Linked DNA regions of Astyanax mexicanus. The protein of the gene in region 1 interacts with the protein of each later gene in a pairwise test. Links are inferred from orthologs where the notes say so. Each region holds a gene or a part of one and is shown in the gene's direction. Other genes may lie near its edges.

The links.
Region 2: the proteins of atf4a (region 1) and gcc1 interact in binary tests that used the Homo sapiens proteins (3 or more experiments, as listed by UniProt). The two-hybrid records come from large-scale screens. The link is inferred for Astyanax mexicanus from reciprocal best matches to the Homo sapiens genes ATF4 and GCC1.
Region 3: the proteins of atf4a (region 1) and snap29 interact in a two-hybrid assay, tested with the Homo sapiens proteins (2 studies listed by BioGRID and IntAct). The link is inferred for Astyanax mexicanus from reciprocal best matches to the Homo sapiens genes ATF4 and SNAP29.

The regions. Positions count from the first base shown.
Region 1 is NC_064412.1:31,402,593-31,410,377, forward strand, and holds the start of atf4a (cyclic AMP-dependent transcription factor ATF-4), read left to right. Parts: upstream 1-4,713; 5' UTR 4,714-4,871; intron 4,872-6,006; 5' UTR 6,007-6,122; coding exon 6,123-6,423; intron 6,424-6,614; coding exon 6,615-7,510; 3' UTR 7,511-7,785. Other genes in the region: apolipoprotein L6-like, read left to right, coding at 624-675, 773-1,505. UniProt on the Homo sapiens protein: Transcription factor that binds the cAMP response element (CRE) (consensus: 5'-GTGACGT[AC][AG]-3') and displays two biological functions, as regulator of metabolic and redox processes under normal cellular conditions, and as master transcription factor during integrated stress response (ISR).
Region 2 is NC_064409.1:35,744,065-35,751,243, forward strand, and holds the start of gcc1 (GRIP and coiled-coil domain-containing protein 1), read left to right. Parts: upstream 1-4,100; 5' UTR 4,101-4,205; intron 4,206-5,722; 5' UTR 5,723-5,775; coding exon 5,776-6,861; intron 6,862-7,179. Other genes in the region: ADP-ribosylation factor 4, read right to left, coding at 1,691-1,757. UniProt on the Homo sapiens protein: Probably involved in maintaining Golgi structure.
Region 3 is NC_064419.1:75,468-82,973, forward strand, and holds the start of snap29 (synaptosomal-associated protein 29), read left to right. Parts: upstream 1-4,442; 5' UTR 4,443-4,589; intron 4,590-6,406; 5' UTR 6,407-6,436; coding exon 6,437-6,682; intron 6,683-7,355; coding exon 7,356-7,506. UniProt on the Homo sapiens protein: SNAREs, soluble N-ethylmaleimide-sensitive factor-attachment protein receptors, are essential proteins for fusion of cellular membranes.

The DNA.
Region 1 (7,785 bases):
GCGCCCGACCTGTGGTGGCTTCACTTTTGAGAGACGATGCTCTGTCCAGCTATACACAGTCTATGTAAAGCCGTAGTCCATGAAGTTCTTTAGTTTTCTTTCTAAACTGCAGTGTGAAACCAAAACTAATCGGACCAAGTTCATATGATGTAATAAGCATATAAACTTTGGTTCAGACTGTCCACAGTGATGTTATTTTGGTTTGACGTGTTATACTTTCAACAAAACCTATTATGTTTATTCTAATTACAACATTTTCTGAAATCTGATTGGCTGAGCCAAGTCAAGAATCCAAACTAACTGATAGCATTCTGAAATTGAGTAGGCCAATTAAAAAGGTCAATACGCTGTTTATAGAATAATCTTTGAGCTATACTTGGTAAGTGTAGCTTACTGTTAGCTTACTGCCAGGGAATGGCTTGAGCAGTATATAGACCCCCAGCCTTGAGCTGTGGAGCAGTAAAACTGTGTTCTCTGGAATAATGGTGCTCCATCTAATACATACTACTGGAGATGAGGTGTGTTTCCTTTAATTAAGTTTAAGCTACTGTCACATTTTGATCATAAAACAATGTTATTCATAAAAACACTGTTTTTAAACATGGACCTTCTTCTTTCTTTAGCTTGGGAGAACGTACCCAATTGTCATCATCTCCCAAAAAACAAAGCAGCAAAGTAAGTGTAAAATAAACAATATTTTGGCACTTAATTTAAGCCGTGTTTAAAACCGTTCTTCTTCATAACATAACCCCTGGTCTCTCTTCCTCCTCAGAACATTCACAAAGAAGGCTCGCCACGTAAAAAAGGCAGTCCGCCTGTATGATTTTCTCCTGTCTGAGCGTGAAGATACTCTTCGTGGTCTCACAGATGAGCTGTCAGGAGTAGCTGATAACTTGAACAAGGTGTATAAAGGTGCAAGGATTGCTGGCATTACTGGTGGGGCAGCAGGGGCAGCTGGAGTGGCAGCTGCTGTAGGGGGCATATTACTTGCCCCACTGACTTTGGGTGCTTCATTAGCAGTGACCGCAGTTGGGGTTGGTGTGGCTGCTGCTGGAGGGGTCACAGGAGCCTCCGCCGCAATCACCAACAAGGTCAACAGCGACAATGACAGAAAGAAGGTGGAGAAAATCCTTCAAGACTTCACCACTGAGATAGAGGATATTGAGAACTGTGTGATGTTCATCAGGTCAGGGATCAAGTACCTAAACAGTCACAACCTGTCTGAGTTGCACGGGGTGGACCAAGAGGTGGTGAAGGTGGCAAAAGTGGCTGGTGTGGCTGGAAGAAATACTTTAGCCATCTGTGCTTTCAGCAAGGCCTCAGGTGTGATTCAGGGCTTTGCACTGGGCATGGACATCCACTTCACCACAAACGACAAGCAGAAGCTGAAGAAAGGGTCAGAAACCAAGTTTGCCAAGCAGATCCGTGAGGTGGCTGAGAAGATGAAAGCCAGCCTTGATGAGCTAATGAAAGTTAAAAATGATCTAAAATCTGCAGACTTGTAAAAAACAGGTTAGTTATGAACAGAAAAGCACGAAATGTGGGTTATCTGTGGATGAATACCCTAAAATCTAAGGTAATGTTTAGCCAGCATTAGTTCTCAAAAAATCAGTGACATTATGGGAGTGTTTCCCATTCCTTTTCTGGTGAGGCTTTACTGTAAATCTTACACTACTTACAATTTTCTTTTCAATTTAGTCGTTTCACCTCATCACACCTACCCTTCACACAATGGAAGTATCATTGAATGTCATTTGAAAGTTGAACACACTTGGAGGACAACCCTCTAGTCTACCTGAAGACATTTACATCAATTATGTTCACTCTCAGCCATAGGTAGATCTTGGGTTGCAATCAGTCATGAAAGCCTTATCCTACGGTCAGGTTGTGTTGATGGATAAACCTAAAGGTAAGCTCCACTTCTCCAGAGATCACAGTTCCATCATTATATAGTAGAATAATAGAGGAGTTTCCTTGAACCGCTCTTGCCAGCTATTGCATGGTGATATAAGGATTGTGTGTGAATGCTTCAGAGTGTCCCATTCTATTGTCACTGCTTTTCAATGGAAATCTTTCAAGTTGGATGCAATATTTGCATATCTGGATACTTTGACATTAAGCTTTTAATGTTAACTGGAACACTTTTTTGGAAAATCAAAATAGCGAAGCTTTCTAAACCTTTTATGTAATCAAATAAAAAAACGTTTATCAAAACACTATTGATTGTATTAGATATTTTGCAATATAATAAATACATTTAAATGAGGAAACTGTAGTCTTTTATTTGATATTTAATGTGTTGTGAGAATTAGACCCACACAGCAGAAAGGCAAGTGTTGAATTAACTCTCCAGTTTTTCTGGGCACACAGGAAAATTCCTCCTTTTTCAGAAGATCTTTGTTCAGCTCCTTTTTTTGGAATAGAGGGAGAAAACATCCTGTCCAGGTAACAATAAAGAAGCTGACTACAATGCCTTTTTTGTTTTTCCAGTATTTATCATTAATTACAACTTGAAACAATGTTATTTCTTATTACACTTACATTAAGTAAAGTGTCAGAACACCATAATCAAACACTGTACAAAATATATATTTTTTAACATTTAGTCTGAAGCAACACATTAATACACATAAAGAGGAATCTTATCCTTAACTTTAAAGAAAATTTGGTACATTTTATGTTAAGTACTTATTGCAATTGCATATTTAGCAATTAATTATATTATTTCACTTAATATTTCTTGCACTGTCTCCATATTTAGTTGAGATGAGGCTTAAGCTGTTCACCTTTTTATGGTAAAATATTAAGCCATTTTTAGAAAGTTATGAGATGCCAAAAGACAGTATTCTGATAATTATCCAGTTGGTTATGCCACTTTTTGCAAGAATGCAGGGAAGAGGTCAACATCAATGTGAAGTGATTTTTCTTGATTGACCAACATTTCTGAACCTGATTTTGTTGGCCTATTATAGAACTCACCTTGCCCAAAACATCATATTATGGGGTCAACCGTATCTATAGTGTGCATAGTATAGTATAGTATAGTGTAAAACCCAATAAGGCTATTTTATCTAAAATTGGTGAAACTGATTGATAAAAGTATAAGTAAGAGTAACTCAATTTTCAAGTTAAACTAATATTCTATATTAAATAGGTTTTAATAAGTAAGTTTAGGTTACACTAGCTTACGTTTTGTGAACAAAATAGATTTGTATTTCATTGTTTTTAATTGATCTAAGAAAAATCTGCATTTGAAAGACGACATAAAAACCAATAGAAGGAACACTCTAGCACACAGCATTAGCACCTTACCCTTACACCCTACAACAAAAGTTGATTTAACTATGTTTGAATACACAGAACCAGTCTAAATTATTCATATTAAAAGCATAAAAAATTAGGGGACTCATAAGGACCTGACCTGACCCTGACCTAAACCCAACTGAGATGGGTGATTTGGGATGAGCTGGAGCAGAGCGTGAAGGAAAAGCAGCAACTATTGTTTAGCACCTTCAGAAACTCCTTCAAGACACTGAAGGCTCTAAATCATGAAAATGCAAAGAGTGTGCAGAGCTGTCCTCAAAGCTAAATGTGGCTACTTATAGGACTCTAAAGAATAAAACATGTGTTGGTTTGTTTTTCACCTTTTTTTACAGTATAATTTGTATGTGGTCCTGGACAGCTTCAATATTAAAATTACAATGTAAAAAATCTAAAGAAAAAAAGAAAACGCATTGAATGAGAAGAGCTGTGCCCAAACTTTTGTGTCCACAAATGTTCACCTAACTCAAAATAGTTGAGTAGGCCTAATGTTTGAAAATAACCAATTTTAGACTTAATTTATTTGAGTTCAAATTAATTGTGGGTTTACAGTGTAGTTTATATGTGTATAATGATTACATGACAATAAAGCTTAATACAATAGTCAGAATTACTTTATTGTTATGCCAGGGAAAAAGGCCTAGAGGGCAGCCTTGTACCATTTCCTATTGTTGTCTGTGAGCCACTGAGGCCACGAGGCCATTAACAAAATAAATAGGACTCTTTGGGAGGAAATGTGTTTCCATTTTCTCATTTTAATGTAAAGAGTTAATTTAATAAACCGTAGCTATATAAAATCATGTGTAAGATATTAGTAATATCACTGTTTCAGTACTGATTTATTGATGTGTTGAGAATAGTTAGTTCGTAGTCTCGTGATATATACAGACGCTGCATTTACGTCATCTGTTACTGTGTGGTGTTTAAAGTGTAGTTTAGGATTTTGGGAAAGGGGTAAATTCAGAGATATTCTTATAAAAACTATATTATTTGTTTTTACAGGAGCAGGTCTTTAATGTAATTTACGTCTATTATGTTGTATTATCTCAAATAAATACTCAGTTCAAGTAAAAGTGTTTTAATTAACATGGTCAACAAAAGTCACTTTTTGTTAGAAAACCTTATGGTAATATCAGTTGTGTTGACGCTATAATATAATTTAATAGTAAAGTGTCGGAAATGAAAAAGTTGTGGTGTATTTATTATGTCGTCGCATATTCCTCCCCACAGCTCTGTTTAGGAACTATGTTTTTCCCCACGCGTCACACAACCTGGCGATCAGCTCCACCAATCAGAAAGAGATGCAGCCCGCGGAGTGATACCAGAATGTTTCGGAGGCGGAAGGTCATATGTGGGTGTTGTATGTGAGTATATAAGGTCATGTGACGCCCTACCGACGTTTTCGTTCTCTTTCCCTTCTGTAATACAACGCGTTGAGCTGAGAGCTCCCTGCTCAAAATGGCAGTGTAGCGGCTTGCAGCGGCAAAACTCGCAGCGGCGGATCCTGCAGTGCAACGGCGAATTGCACTGATTCTATTAGGCAAAATGGCGTAAGTATAATTTTGTATTTTTTAGTGATTTGAGGTGAGAGGACCGGATGACTGAAGTAGGCCGGCTAGCTTATGTCGTCGTTACCGGCAGGGGAGGAGTTGTCTTTGTTGGTGGGAGGTATAATGTTAAATGTGTCAGCTACCTAATAAAGTTATACATACAAAAATACCTACAATCGAGATTTAATTAATGTCAGGGTTGTACATTTATTAACCTGCAATGAGTCTGAACTTTACTTGGCCTTATTTACCGCCCCCGCCATTTGATACAGTTCCCGCCCTCAATATTTATTGTTAATTTTTTTAGCTGACGAACTGTAATTGTGCTTATAAAATGTACTGGGTTATTACTGTGGTATTATGTTGTTTGTGAGGGAGGTCGTGTTTAAAATGGACCAATAAAAACAAAAACACAGCTGTCCGCCTTTGACCAGACAACGTGGCACTATTCAAAATGGCGCACCAGCTTCCCTCCCTCGTGCTGGCTGTGTTGTGAAAATGGCGCGATCGCCAAGGGCACAGCCGCCATGAGGGAGGGGCATAAGGCGGGGCTTGGTGCACCGTGACCATATTAAGGAAACTTGTGACGTGTGGGCGGAGCGTTTTTGGCAGGCCTTGTGGTTGACGGGAAAGAAGAAAGACTGATTTAAATTGTCTTGGAGCAGAGTTTTCCTGTTGAAACATGAAACTGTTAAATGTTTGGAATTTACTTTGTGGGGAGGTGGTGTTTTTGTGTAGGTGGTAGGGAAGTATTTGAGTAATATTTGGCTTCTTTTCCTAATTCTATACTCATTCCATAAAAACGGGTCAGCATGAATTCAGTTTTGGACCAGTTTCAACAAAAAGTAGTGCTAATACATGATTGACTGGTTTTTATATATAGTTTAATTACAGTGCCTTGGGCGGTGTTGTGGTGACTGACTAAACGTGTTTGACCTGTATTGGGACATTTTCTTACGTGTTCACAAGAGAGCTTCATAATTACAGTGGGAACCACATAATGAGGTAGCTTGTATAAACCTGTTGTAGTTTTTTGTTTAAGTCATGTCTGAGATAGAGGTTTTACAAGAAGATTAAATGTTTACATGGTAACCTTTTTCTTTTTTTGTTTTCTGTTTTTGCCTTTTTTTTTTAGGTCCTTTGAGGCAACCACCCTCAGCTTTGCTGCCGTCGACAGCATACCAACTTTGCTCGACTCATCATCAGAACTCCTGTTCTCGTTGACTCTGTCACGACCCCTGACCAGCCACCATGTCTCTGACCTCACAGATGTGCATGGAGGACGTGGGGGCCCTGCTCTTGGGGCCCTCGACTCTGATGGCTGACCCCTTCGGGCCCCTTCTGGACGAAGATGAAGAGAGAGCTCTTTCTGAGGGGTCGTCTTCGCCCCTCTCCTTCTCTTCATACTCTGAATCTTACACCTCCTCCCCGTTCTCCCCCTTTTCGGCCCCTGCTCCTCTAGGGTGTAAAGTTGGGTCTGACCTGCTGCCGCTCCCCTGGCTGTCTGCTGGTGAGCAGATTGATGCTCATGTAAGAGCAGATCAGAAAGAAGGTAAGACTGGTTGAGCAACTTAAGCATGACACCTACATTTATGACCCATTCGTGTGAAGTGTGAAAACAGTGGTCACAAATTAAACAAGTGCATATATAAATTATATAAGTGAGAAATGGAAAAATCAGAATGCCAGAATTGCCATATGTTGTCACTAGCAGAGAATAACCCAAAAGCTTTTCTGTTGCAGGGGATGCGTTTTCTGGCATGGACTGGATGACAGAGAAGATCGACCTAAGTGACTTCGACCTGGATTCGCTCATCGGGTCCTGTGATTTAGATGAGCCCCCCAGCTCACCAGAAGAGCTGCTGGCATCCTTGGAGTCCCAAATGGATCTGGACCTGGCTCCCCTACCATTTCCCTCATCTTCACCCTCTGACCCAGAAGAGCTTGGCCTGCCTCCTCTTTCCCTTGACCTCCCACTTCCAGAGCAACCGGCAGACCCTGAGGTCCGTCCGGAGCCCATTCCCATTGAGATAAAATCAGAGCCATTGTCTCCTGCCTTCACCCTGGAACTGGGCAGTGAGGTGGACATCTCAGAGCTGGAGAAGGTGGTTTCCAAAACCAGTAGTGACCAACAGACCCCCAGCATTGTGCTGTCCCTCTCACCTGCTCACATTGTGGTTGTTCTTGCGCCCAAAGAAGAGGTGAGTGTCATGCCCAGTTCCTGTGCAGACCAGTCTGACAGTGGCATTGAATCAGTCTCTGGTTCTCCCCCTCACAACCCGAGTCCTGCACCATCCCCCAAGCCTGTTGGCACTTCCAGAACCAAGCCATACTCCAAGCCAGACCCAGAGGCAGGTGTCACAGTTGTTGGTAAAGTGAAGACAGTCACTGGGAAGTCTGTGGACAAGAAGCTGAAGAAGATGGAGCAGAATAAGACAGCAGCGACCCGCTACCGGCAGAAGAAGCGGGTAGAGCAGGAGTCCCTGAATGAAGAGTGTACTGAGTTGGAGAAGAGGAATCGTGAGCTGTCGGAAAAGGCTGACTCGATAAGTAGGGAGATCCAGTACCTAAAGGATCTTATTGAAGAGGTCCGTTCTGCCAAGAACCGCAAGAACAAGACCAAGGCTGACTCTCCCTGAGATGTAGGCCAAGATACTTTAATTAAAGATCAGCTCCATCAAAAAGTATAAAGTGTACTGAAAGTATCTTTAGTTTCTCACCCCCTCACAATTCACACACCCTCAATATTCACTGTATGTAGTTTTAACAGAATCAACTATTTTGTGTAATGTGAGCCATACAAAACTAAAATGGGCACATAGACGCACACAGAAACCTGAACAGTGGAAGGTTGTTGTCCTCCCCCACTTCTCTCATTTTTAAACCTGTCATATTTCACTTCTATTAACCAACG
Region 2 (7,179 bases), on another chromosome or scaffold:
GGTACTTCAGTACTTTGAAGTTTAAAGTTGTTTTTGGCGTTTGCTTGAATTGTGAATTATCTAAACCATCATAAAACCAACCAACAATCTTACATCTAACAGAGGGGTTGCTGAACTTATGTGTAGGTTATATAAAACCCTTTTTCTCTGTAGCAAAATAAGCCATTTACATTCTGAAGAATTTGAGGCCTTTAGAGACTCTCCTACAGGAGATGCTGCCAGTTCACCCTCTACTCCACCTAATAATTTGTTTTAAAAATGTTTGAAAATAGACATAAAAACTAGACAACCGTAACAAAATTAAAGTTCTGAAGCACATTAAAATATTTGTATTCACAAAAATACAGATTTTAAAACGAAGCTTAGGAAAGTGCCATTTTTGTGATTTTTATCCACTATAATTTTTATTCACTTTATGTTTTATTATCTACAGTTGCAGATTTAAATAAATATTTAATAAATATTTTCTCAGATTTTCAGTAATGTTTCCTATCAAATATGAACCCTTTTTATGTAATGCTTGAATAGGTAGCCTTAATATTTAGGCATGTAATATCAGGCAGAAAATTGACAAAAAAGCTGGCTTTAAAAGAGGTTAACCTTGTTTTTCCTCATTGTCTAACATGACATCAGAATAAACCTTTCCCATTTTAGGTCAATTAGAATTCCTAAATTATATTTTCCAAATGCCAGAATAATGAGAGCGACATCATTTTGTGCGCATTTTATTAGTCAAAAGTTTACATACGCTAAGATTACTATGACTGAACAATTTGGCACAGCCCATATGATCATATAATGACTTTGGAAGCTTCTGATAGGTTTATTGGCAACATCTGAGTTAATTAGAAAAACACCTGTGGACATATTTTATAATCTGCATGAGTTCCCTTATTAGTATATCCCTAGTTACTACATTACTACACCCCATCCCCCAACTGCAGCAACCCCCATCATTTACTTAGTTAAATGCAGGTGGAGACTATTTTTTGTCCAGGCAGTGTAACTTATGATATACCGGGGCATAAGAAATGGTGGCAAATATTTACAGCATTTGCAGCCTTTCTATTTGTTGATCCAAGTATAGTTTGCATATTTGGATTTCAAATTTTGATGATCAGTGGGCTATGTTCAGTTTATATCAGTGAAGGAGTTTCTGAGTGAGGACAGAGTGCTGTAAGGAGCTTTTAATTACCATGGGCTCTTTAGGTTAAATTAATCCCGAAAATAAGCAAGGAACTAAATGAATAGACGGGAATAAAAGGGTAGATGTGTATAATTATCTCATGAATATTCAGGAGCGTATGAGTAAAGGTATTTACATTTAAACAATTTAATTAAATCAGAAAGAACAGGCTGTGCTCAGGGAGCGAGTAAAGGTAAATCGACCCACCTGAGGATCGAGTATTAAATTACTTTAGGCATCAATAAAACAACAGGAGGAGACACTTAAACTGTCCGCAGGTCAGATCTACAGCTCTACAGCTGACCTGCTGCTCAGGGTCGGTCTGACTGATAGTAAAGGAGAAGAGACTATGTGCTGATCAGGCTGTGAGTAAAGCATTAGCGGTGTGCTCGTATGTGTTAATGGTGTTAATGTGTAAAAAGGGCTGTGATGATCAGAGGGTCTCGCTTTCATTAGCCGAGAGCTCTGACAGACAGACAGACAGACAGACAGCCGTTCGCTCACCCATCAGTATCCTCATCTGCTTCTTCCCGAAGAGCTTAGAGAACAGGGAGGATATGGTGATTCCCATGGTCAGGAGATCAGAGAGATGTAGAGCTGATAACAGAATAAATCAGCCGGTGTTTCCAGCAGTGGAGCCGCTCTCTGTCTCTGCAGCTGACCTCCGTCCACGGCCAGGCCAACGCGGAAGAAATGACGTCAGCGCGTCTTCAGTGAGGCCCAGTCCCAAACGACTGTCTGTTCCCTCTGTAGTGCACTTACTCACTCACTCACTTTACACTCACTTTAAGGCATATTCCGCCGAATCGGTGCCATTTCTGTCCCCAGGAAATTACATGTATAAATGTGCACACAAAATAACTTAATAATAAAACATTAATAACCTACTTAGAACACTGAAGAAATAGCATTTGTTACCTGTCCCCACTCTCTAACTATATGTTTTTTGTATTGTGAGTCCAAATCCTATTTATGTTAATGTATTAGAAGTCTTGTCCAGATCCTCTTATTGGTGTAGCATGGTGTGCTTAACTACCTAACTAAGAAATGTAATTATGTTTCTGTAAAGAGGTGATGTACAGTACAGGCCAAAAGTTTGGACACACCTTCTCATTCAATGCGTTTTCTTTATTTTCACGACTATTTACACTGTCTATTATACTTTACACTATCTACTATTTCTCACTGAAGGCATCAAAACTAAGAATGAACACATGTGGAGTTTTGTACTTAACAAAAAAAGGAGAAATAACTGAAAACATGTTTTATATTCTAGTTTCTGGAAAAATAGCCACCCTTTGATCTGATTACTGCTTTGCACTCTTGGCATTCTCTCAATGAGCTTCAAGAGGTAGTCATCTAAAAAAAATTTCCAACAGTCTTGAAGGAGTTCCCAGAGGTGTTTAGCACTTGTTGGCTCCTTTGCCTTCACTCTGCGGTCCAGCTCACCCCAAACCATCTCGACTGGGTTCAGGTCCGGTGACTGTGGAGGCCAGGTCATCTGTCGCAGCACTCCATCACTCTCCTTCTTGGTCAAGTAGCCCTTACACAGCCTGAAGGTGTGTTTGTGGTCGTTGTCCTGTTGAAAAATAAACGATCGTCCAACTAAATGCAAATTATATGGGATGGCATGTTGCTGCAGGATGCCGTGGTAGCCATGCTGGTTCAGTGTGTCTTCAATTTTTAATAAATCCCCAACAGTGTCACCAGCAAAACACCCCCACACCACCATAGCCCCTCCTCCATGCTTCACAGTGGGAACCAGGCATGTGGAATCCATCCATTCACCTTTTCTGCGTCTCACAAAGACACAGCGGTTGGAACCAAAGATCTCAAATTTGGACTCGTCAGACCAAAGCACAGATTTCCACTGGACTAATGTCCATTCCTTGTGCCCAAACAAATCTCTTCTGCTTGTTGCCTCTTCTTAGCAGTGGTTTCCTAGCAGCTATTTGACCATGAAGGCCTGCTTTGCGCAGTCTCCCTTTTATCAGTTGTTCTAGAGATGGGTCTTCTGCTAGAACTCTGTGTGGCATTTAACTGGTCTCTGATCTGAGCTGCTGTTAACAGTGTTCTCAAATCTCATGCTTTGAGCGTGTGACACACCCACCTCAGCAAGTTAACACTCTTACACACCACACATGGTATTCCCCCCCAGTTGAACAACTGAGGAGGAACTGTGTGCACCCCCACCACCAAACAACCCCCACCCCCTCCAAATCTCACGCCCACCAAACTTCAAGTAAACGCGAACCCTTAAATGATCTCGAAATTAAGAGGATCCAGTGATAATTAGGAATGTGATAGAATGTGATAGAGGCCAGTTTTTAAAAAGCCTATTCAAATTCGCCATTCACATGAACCGCTTAGACACGGAACCCCAAATATGGACATAAACAACATGGCACCGCCTACAAAAATAATGACAGTGGTCTATGGAACCTATCAGAGCTGCGCTACATCATGATTTCAACATGCGCAGTGAAGGGGGAAAAGGGGGAACTGAATTTACCATAACACCAGCTGCTTCGCCATTAGGTAGGCTAGGCGGCATATAAGTATATATATTATAACTTATTTTTCCGACTACATTCCTTCACTGTCCAATCTATGGAGGGTTATTTGCGACAATATTATATAAATAAATGAATTAATATATATATATATATATATATATATATATATATATATATATATATATATATATATATATATATATATATATATTAATTATTTATGCTTCGTTTTCATATTTAAATAAATACATAAATAATTAAATGAAATAATTCTCATTTAAAATATTTATTTACCGTTTTAATTAATTATTTTATATATATATATATATATATATATATATATATATATATATATTTTTTTTTTTTTTTTTTTACGTATAGGGTCACAGGCCACCAGGCGTTTTCAGGACGTCACTTCCTGTGAGTGGGAGAGAAGCAGGAAGAGACGGAATGTTATTTTGACACGTAGCTGAGAGACTTTCGCGCTTTATGCAAAATCTCAGGTATTTAATCAGTTTAAGTAAAGTACAAAAAAATCACATGTTTAAAGAGCGGCTGCTTTAGTGGGGTCGCCGGGTTTCTGCTGGGTTTGTTTGTTAGCCGTTTGGATTAGCTCGCGGGCTAATTGTTATGATAAGGAGGTCCGCTTGCAGTAACTGACCTAACGTTAGGTTAACCTAACTAACCTAACCTATCTAAGTTACCTCAGGATTAAGATTTAATAAAACAGTATTGACTTCAGTAGTAGAAACCACAGTTATAAGATGTTGTAGTTTATGCTTTCCTGTAATTCGCAGATTAGTGTGTGATAGTGATGCAGCCTCTGGAGTAATTTTAAAGCAGTTCCACAGTGTTTGGTTTTTGGGTGCCATGTGCTGTAGTGTTTACTGTTTTACCTAGTTCAGTTCGTCATTGCTGGATTTAATCAGTAAATCAGTAGCTGACATTGAAATATTGTATAAGTATGGGCTGCACTATGGTCAGAACTTAAGTAAAAATAAATGAGACTGGACAGATATAAACAGGCACATAACCAGAGCTGTTTAAACCCTGATTGCAATATGCAAAGTAATGGCTGTATTGAGTAATGATATATGTATTTGGAATAATAGTGGCTGATGGGATAACACAGTGAATCTAAGTATACATACTTAAACACATTCATAGTTCTGCATAGTTCTGCCTAATACAATTGAAGTATAATTGTCTAAGCTGCACAATTAAACACTAAAGACAAATTGAAATGTGCCTAAATTATTATTGTAATATGATCTCTATGCTTATCAGTTACATACTATAACAATTATTGTTGTCCCAGGATAAAATTAATATATTTATTAAAAAATTGTATAATAAAACAAATTTGTGCTTTTATAATAAGGCTTAAGTATATTTTATAAGTATTGTCACTTGTAATACTAAATGTCACCGCTGTCACAACTTCTCCAAATTGCCTACTTTACTAGAAAAAGGAAAATAATTATTTTGTTAAAGTATATATACAAATATATCACAGTACTGAATCGGCACAATCAAATAAAGTTTACAGATAAAGTAGTTAAACAGAAAAATATATACTTTATTTATTCCGGATACATACCAGGTACACTATTATTAGATAAAAGTGGATGATGGGCATCATACATTTAATGGTAATTTTTTTGTTTGAGCTCTGTTCCAAAATAGTGATAACTAGCCTGGGTTATGTATATTATTTGATAAGTACATAGAAGGTAAATGTAAAATGTATGCTGCAAAGTCACATTTGTGACCTGTCATAAAACTTATTTTGGATTTGGATATTTTTATGTCCGGCGAAAAAAAAATCTAAATTAAATGGGTTAAGAGAAGAGAACAATTATATGTTATATGTTCATATAACATATCCAAAATATGATGAAATGTGAAGGTTTTATAATCACTAACTTGGAGCATTCATTATAGTAGTAACTAAACATTTAACCAACAAGCCAATATTGCATTTACTGACACATTCTCCCTCTGTTTTAAACTTCTGCAGGTTTACATATTTTGCAGCTCTTACTATGAAAGCACTTTAAGTGTGTCCTCACAATGGAAAAGTTTGGAATGAGCTTTGGTGGAGGCCCAAGCAAGAAAGACCTGCTTGACACAATTGAGGCCCAGAAGAAGCAACTTATCCAATATCAGACCCGTTTAAAAGATGTTGTCAGAGCGTATAAAAGTTTGCTGAAAGAGAAGGAAGCTTTGGAAGCTAGTCTGAACGTCCTCACTGTGTCCCAGGAGGTGGATTTAACCCTACACAGCCATGACCCACCTTCCAGTGGATGCACTGGCAAAGCAGAATGCCCACCACCTACTGACCTTGTAGATGACCACTGTTCCATTCACAGTGAGGACAGTGTGGACACAGCAGCTTCTGTTGACACGGCTACCAGTGTGACCAGCAGCAGCACTAAGGGTGACCCTTTAGAGGAAGATCAGAGTGGCCTTGGAGAAGGATCAGTGATCCAGCAGTCAGAAGACACTCAGAGTGGCTCGGAGAGTGGCGTCAGTTCCGGCAGCAGTGCAGGTGTAGATCAGCCCGTTGCTTCAGCAGTTGCTGAAGTAGATCGCCGGGTGATTCAACTCAAGTCTCAGCTGTCTACTTTGACCAACTCTTTGGCCACGGTCACTCAGGAAAAGTCTCGAATGGAGGCTTCCTTCCAAGCAGACAAGCGGAAGATGAAGCAAGACCTTGAGGAGATGCAGGGGAAGATGGAGGAGGCACACAAGCAGTACCAGAATGAGCTTCAGGCTTTGCAGGAGCAGCTTGCAGAGAGCAAGGCTCGCGTAATCACACAGCAGCACGAGCGGGAGCAGGAGCAAGGTGATCATGCCCACATGCTCCGTGAGCTTCAGAAATTACTGCAAGAGGAAAGAAGTCTAAGACAAGATGCTGAACTTAAACTGGAGGATGCTAGAGAAACCTTGGTGGAAACCATGCAAGCTGCAGACAGGGGACTAGATTATGAGGAACAGGTGAAGAAGATGGCTGAGGAGTGTGAAATGCTGAGGAAGAGTCTGCAGGCTTCAGAGGCTGAGAGAAATAAGCCTGATCCAAGGGTACAGGAGCTGCAGCAAGAGATTGCTGACCTGAAGGCACAATTTAACCAGCAGATTCAGCACGAGATTAGGAAGGTAAGTGTTGGCCAACTGCAAATGTCTCTAAAATGCCAGCGACCAGACAATACTTTTTTTAATAAAAAAGCTCTGCTAATGTAGCTAACAATGAATCAATGACACAGTTGACAGAGCCTGGTGATGCATTAGCAGTTTTATTTGGCAATATAACACAGAAACACTTACTGTCAGGTTCAGAAGGTAGATTGCCTTTTTTTGTACTAGAGTTTATGCTTCTCTCTCTCTCTCTCTCTCTCTCTCTCTCTTTCTCCCTCCCTCCCTCTCCCCCATCAGAATTATAATAGAGATATTATAATACAGTAAAAAAGTCTGCCA
Region 3 (7,506 bases), on another chromosome or scaffold:
CAACCCAAATTCCTCTCCTCTCCACTTAGTGCAGCTAAATATACCACACTATATTCACCAAAACTATTATATCACACTATATTCACCAAAACTATTATATCACACTATATTCACCAAAACTATTATATCACACTATATTCACCAAAATTATTCACTCACCCGTACAAATCACCGATCTCAGGTGTTCCTGAATCTCCTCCGTCTCCACAGGTGTTTAATAAAATCAGCAGCTCCTCCTGCAGCTTCTACAAACACTAGTGAAAGAATAGGATGCAGCACCTGTGCAACAAGTCCAGTCATAAAATTTAAATGCTAAATATTCCACAGCCAACTGTCTGTGATCATCCTGACCGTGTGTGTGTGTGCGTGCGTGCGTGTGTTCTCCAGACTTTGGCTTCATGTTTGAGAGTTCTCCTGGAGGAAACCTGGGCTGGGAGCCGGACATTAAGCTGACTGATGAGATGGTGATGATCATGGGAGGAAAGATGGAAGCCACACCCTTCAAATGGTTTATGGAGATGTGTGTGCGGGGCTACCTGGCCGTCAGGTGAGAGATGTACACGCTGTGTTTACTTGTTTGCTTGTTTATAATGAGTGAATTTGTGCTGAAACGCTGTGTGTTTCTCTACAGGCCGTATATGGATGCTGTGGTCTCCTTGGTGACGCTCATGTTAGACACCGGTCTTCCGTGTTTCCGTGGTCAAACCATCAAACTGCTGAAGTAAATTAATCTACTGCACATAAACAACAACTTAGTGTATTTGTGTTTAAGGAAAAGTCGTTTGTGAGGGGGCTCCGGTTGGTGTAGTGGATAAATGCACTGTCAGACCTGAGGGTCACTGTTCCAGTGCAGAATCCAGCTGCCAGACATCAGCAGCCGGGGAAAAAAGAGGTGGAGTCTGAGGAGGCAGAGGGGAAGTTCATATGACTGGAGATTGTGTAATTGGAGAAAAGAGGGTAAAATCAGAAATTAATTATTAAAGAAACCCATGTTTGTGTGTGTTTGCTTACAGGCAGCGATTTAACCCCAGCATGAGTGAGAAGGAAGCAGCGGCCTTCATGATTAAAGTCATCCAGAACTGCTTTCTCAGCAGCAGGTCGGTCTCACACAGGTTTTTTTTTACACTTAAAGTTAGTTAAGAAGGTCGTTTAGTTTGAAAGTTGGTTTGGTTTGGTTTGATTTGGTTTCACACATGGAAAACGGAAATTCATGTGATGATGTCTCTGCTAATTGTTTGATTACAGTGAGACAGGACGCAGACTTTTGTTTTTATTTATTGCGTAAATCTTCAGCAGTCGCATCAGAAAATGGAGTTCAGTGTGAAAACTTCTTATCACTGAGGAGCAGCAGAGACAGTGTTAGTTAATAGCTGTAATAATTATCTGCATAATATATCAGGTTAAACTGCACTTAAACAGCCGTTCAGCTTAAACAAGATCAAAGCTAAATCACATTCCCACCACAAACAAACTGTTTAGAACCGGACCAAGACTACCTCCTCTCACGGGTCTCGGTTCGACTGTATTGATCCACACCGGAGTGGTATTCTTTTTAAAATAAACTTTATTAAACATTTTCAAAGCACATTACAGAGTCATCACAAAACTGTGAGCGCCATTACTGTTTTCACACCTGTCAAAACGAACCACATCAAGAGGGAGCAAACTAACCCGTCTGATTTAATGGAGTTGTGCTACTCTCTCTCACAAGAACTGAACCTGAAAATGAGAAGAATGATGTACAGCAGTACAAACACAGTATAATGTGTTTTATTCTTGTTTTTTTTAGGAGTAAAACCTATGATATGATCCAGTATTACCAGAACCAAATCCCGTACTGAGCTGACAGCCGACAGTACAGTTACAGCTGGACCCTTACTAAAATCTCATGTATGTTTTATGGAAGAACTGTTACATCTGTGTGTGTGTGTGTGTGTGTGTGTGCGCACATAGAGTGTTAATGCACAGTGTTAAATAGGGGTGGGACAAAATATCAAAATCAATATATTCTATTGTTTTGTTTGCGATACATTATTCATCAAATATGTTTTTTTTTTTATTTATTGAAACAGGCGCTCTAAACCCCCTAAGCCCCGCCCTCAATTAGAGGAGTTACTAAAGTTACTGCTTCATTCCACATGGTGGCGCTATAATCTAATGAATAGGGTTAACAAAACCTTCAGTGAAGAATATCGGTTGCTAAATTGTGTAAAACTGAACCAATAAATCTATAATTCCTGGTATTTGATTATTTAGGAGTATTTTATTCTCTTCAGAAACACAGACGATGTGAAAGATCATAGAATTGTGTTGTGATTTATCGACTATCACAGAATCACAGTATCGTGATCTTATCGTTATTGTGGGCAGTGTATCGTGATATTGTATCGTGAGATGCCCTGTGATCCCACCCCTAGTTTTAACATGTTTGCCTCCCTTGTTGTGGAATTTTGATTGCCTGTTTGTTCAGTACTCTCTGCACTTTATACGCCTGTAATGCACTTGCAAGTTTTTAATCTTTTATTGAGTTCTTCAAATGAATATCCATATATGAACCATTTCTCCCTTTCAGATATTCTTTTTTTTTTTTCATTTTGACAACTTTTTACATAAAAAAAATAAAATGTGCCTCATGTAGACTTGTAGAGAGAAATGGTTAAAATGGTTATTGGTTGAAACCGCGCTGCCCTGCTGATGTACTGTTAACTGCATGGCTTCAGTGTGTGAGAAAAACAGCGCAGTAAAGGGCAGCACTTTATTCTACAGTATGGTAAGTGACTAGTATGTAATATGTAAATAAGTTAAAGGTAACAATACTAGTGATTTTACGGTACTTTAGTAAGGCAGTGGTAACTACTAGTAAAACTACCAGCTGCCAGGTTTTAGGACACATGCTTCATACACGTTAAATATTCAAATTCACTAGTATATACTGTATCTACATTCTGAATAAGACAATAAGAGAACAGTTACTATTTAATCTGTTATCAAACCCCAAAACCAGCACAGCTCCATTTATCTGTTATCAAACATGAGCCATTAATTCAGCTCGGAAAAGTTAGCATTGCCCGTTAGCTAATGGGCTAATCGGTCATTTTTTGACTTAAAAAACGCCAGTGCAGAAAATATATAAGAAGAGATTTGTGCTAAAATATAATATGTAAAATATAAAATATAATAATAATAAAAGTGATGAAAATGATTAAGAAATATTAATTAATCACAGAGCATCAGTTGCCAGTACTAGTAGTTACCATTGCGTTGCTTCTTACTATTTACCTATTAAATAGTAATTACTCACATACTGTGAAATAAAGTGCTACCCACTGAAGTTTATTATGCCTCAACATTACAGACTTATCAAGAGTTTGTAGCTTTCATCTCTTTAAAGTCTCAAAACATACGATTGATCACTGAATGCTGTTTTCTGTGCACTTGCTATGATGACACCTGGCATTTGAGTCTTGCTGTAAGAAATCCCAGTTTCTTGCTTCTCTTTCGAGATTGAAATTGCTTTTTCTAAAATACGAGCACTAAATATAATTAATAAGAGATTTACATTAATTTAAATATAAAAATATGTACATTGATATGTCTATAAAATACTGTGCATCATATCTGACTGATGGCTTTGTAACTTGCTAACTGCACTAAGTTTGTGTTCAGTTGTGAACCATTGTTCACCAAGACTGAAGGTCTTTAAATCAGTGATTAATAAAATCATATAAATTTTTTTAAGGTTTTAGAAATACTCCATCCTGCCCTGCTGGGTGAGAATTACAGACTATTTCAGCCTGTGAAAATTTGTTAGATACACACCAATCAGAACCAGATCAGCCCGAGGTCCTATTTAACCAATCACAGCTTGTTTACAGTATGTGCCTCAGTGTTGAACAGATTGTGAAGTGATTTTAATATTTGTACACTCGTTTACATGTTTGTCATTTTTCTGAATCTTTTCTATCCTGCACTGTTTTTGGATGGATACAGCCTGAGATGTTTAAATAAATTATTATATGGAAACAGACTGTGTGTTTTCTCTACATTACACTGCGTCTGAAATGATGACGTGATATAATAATTATTTCCATACACCTTCACTGCAAAGAACGGGTCTCTCTCAGGAGCTCCGTGAACTCCAGCACTGTGGTACCGTGAAATTTCAGAGCTTCAGAGTTCATCACTACACACCTCTCAACTTCTAACTTTTAATATGTTTAGTGATACATGTGGAAATACTGAAGGTGGCAGCAATGCATCAAATTAAATACCAGCTGTCATAAAACATCATATAATTAAAATAGACTTTTATTATTATTATTATTATTATTATTATTATTATTATTATTATTATTATTATTATTATTATTATTATCATCACAGTACCCGAGCGTTTGTGGCGCGGGTGTGACGTCATTACGGCGAGTCAGAAAGAGGAAGTTTAGGGTCACCTGATCCTCCTGGGAACACAGCGGGATACAGCACCCCTCAGTGAGCGGGACAGCGCAGTGGGGGCGCGCCGAACTCCGTTACACCCGCAGCAGCAGCAGCATCGCTGAGTTACAGGAGGACATTATTCTGTTATATCGGTGAGTTTTTTAAATTTAGTTTAGTTTATTCGGTGTAACTTCAGTAACCTAACATAGCCTCGCTAACAGGGTTAGCATAGCAAGCTAACAGCTGTTATTTAAACCCACAGATATTCAGCTGTTGGATTACTGTTGTCTGGAATTGATCGTTTTTGTGATTTATTTATATTAACATGGATAAATAATCATATTGTAACTACCTGCCTGTCACTGAACATGCGGTTAATTTACTAGAACCCGTCATCATCTACAGTATCTACATTAGATTAGATTAGGGAGCGTTAGCGGAGTTAACTCAGCGGTGCTAAGCTAATGCTAACGCTAATTTGCCAGAGAAGAGCTATTAATAGCTGATATCTAACCGCGGCTTTTAGCTGTTTTCATTTCATGACAGCACTTTTAATGTGTTTCAAGCTACACATTAACTGAGTCAGCAGAATATAATCGCTGTTTTTATTTTCCGGCGGTAAGAAAAGTTACTTAATGTTATAATAAGCGAACAGACACGAGGCTAAGCTGTTAGCTAACGCTAGCTAACGTTACATTCCGTGTAATTCACGTGATTATTATTAACTAAATTACACGTTTTACTAAGATGTTCTAGTTAATGAGGCTTTATTAAACTAGCTAAAAATCCAGTATATAACGCTATCTATAATAAGCAGCTGATATTATATTTAACTGATAAATTTAGTCTTTATTAAAGGATTTGTGACAGAAGGCCAGATGCTTAATTATTCCATAAAGTACACTGTGTGTGTAATCTATGAATCATCAACATTATTTGTGATTAGCTTACATCATACTGGTGTTATAAAAAACATGCATCAGAATCCAAGATTGGTGTGCTTGTTTTATTTAAGTTTTGTCCTTTGAAAATGTACAACTCATCAACTTCTAACCAGTGACTAACCAGTAAACTGAGGCATATTTTGAGTTGATCACAACACTAGACTAACTATCTAACGGGACATTTAGAGGAGAACAATCAGCTAGAATTGATTAATGTTGTGTTGGTGTGCCAACTGTAATGATTATCCACCATAGCTTTATTCATTTTTTCTTTATGATGCAACAACAGATTTTTCACGAAACAGGATGTTTTAAAACCTGTATACAGTGCTGACATCGCCAACTACACCCTGCAGAGGAAGGAAGCTGGTTTATCCTGTCTTCAGTCCCAGTCCTGTTAAATAATGTCTGTTCAAAATAAATGTTTTACATCTTCTCCTGTTGGACAGGCTTTGGGTTTATGGCAGGGGTTCTTAACCTTTTTAATGAACGGAAGTATTTTGGAAATATTTCACAAATCTTTGCAACACGACTGGGTGCTTATTTTCAATGATGAAAGACCAGTCTTCTGTCAGTTTGTATGGGAAGAGACAAACTGATAAAATCTGATAAAAATATATATTCTAGACATATAGACATTTTTGCACATCATCTCTTACATTACTGCTTCCAATTCTACATTCTAAACAGAACTACATTTTTAAACAAATTTGGATGTGCAAGCCCACAGCCTACATTAATGTATCTGAATCAGTTTGTGCTAAGATGTATAAAGTATAGAGTGTCTAATGAGTGGGTCTGATTCAGTTAAAGGAAAACTCTTTATAATGTCTAGATATGATTGTCTGTACATTTTGCAGAGAAACAGCCCTTAAGTAGAATCACCCTCACGACCCCTGTGAACTGTTTCAGAACGGAGGGTTAAGGTTATCTGCTTTGTGGGTGACGCTGTTTACAGGGTAACTGATGTGAAAGAACATGTTATTAGTGTGCAGCCGAGGAAAACTTTTTTTTTTCTTGCACAGTCGCTTACAGAACACCGCTGTGGTCGGAGGATGGCGGCGTATCCTAAATCCCACAATCCATTTGCCGATGATGATGAAGAGGAACCAGCAGGGCCGAGGAGGGGCTTTAATTTTGACGATGAGGAAGAAGAGGAGAGTAAGCTGAGTCCTGCGGAGAGGCGGCAGCGGCAGCTGGAGCAGCAGGTCATGCAAACGGCGAAGTCGGCGGTGGACAGTAGCTATCGCTCTCTCGGCCTCATCTATGAATCAGAAAAGATTGGGACAGAGACAGCAGAGGTGAGATGTTCTTAAACCTCGGGGGTCTAAGGGAATTTTTTCAATTCTCATGTAACGCAGAGCAAATTTGGAGAGATAATCTGAAAAGTATTTTTTTTTTATTTTTTCTGCGTATATCTTGTGAAGATTCACCAAGTGAAAAAAGCACACACACACACATCCTGGCTATTTGCATTATTCCTGCTTAGTAAATCATGTGACACAGGTTTAGAAATATTTAAAACAGTGTTTGGCCTTAATCTGCTTGTATACAGTATTTTTGATTGTTTTAGCAGAATCTGTAACAGAATCATCTAATACTTGCATTTATTAGTGCAAAACTTGTTGATGTGATTCGCACTAGTATATTGCTGGTATTTACACTTATTCACACCAAGAGTATATAGAATAAAACTTTTATAAACAATTAATACAGATACAGTGGTATGAAACGTTTTTAATGATTTTTCTTTATAAATCATTGGTTGTTCGGATCAGCAATTTTGTTGGATGGAATCAAAGGGGCAGATTCTTCTGATTCAGGAAGTGTTTTAAGTATATTTCTGTTATTTGAGTTGGACCTGCTGTAGGAGCACAGGCAGGGCTCATTGTTGGAGGTCTTGCCTCAGAAGTGTTTTATGGCTCGTCACGTTTTTTTTTTTTTTTTTTAATCACGCCGTCTCTCTGTTCTCAGGAGTTGATTCGTCAAGGTGAGGTATTAAAGAGGACGGAAAGAATGGTGGATAATATGGAGCAGGACATGAGGACTAGTCAGAGACACATAAACTCCATTAAGAGCGTTTGGGGGGGGCTGGTTAATTATTTCAAAGGGAAGCCAGAGCAGA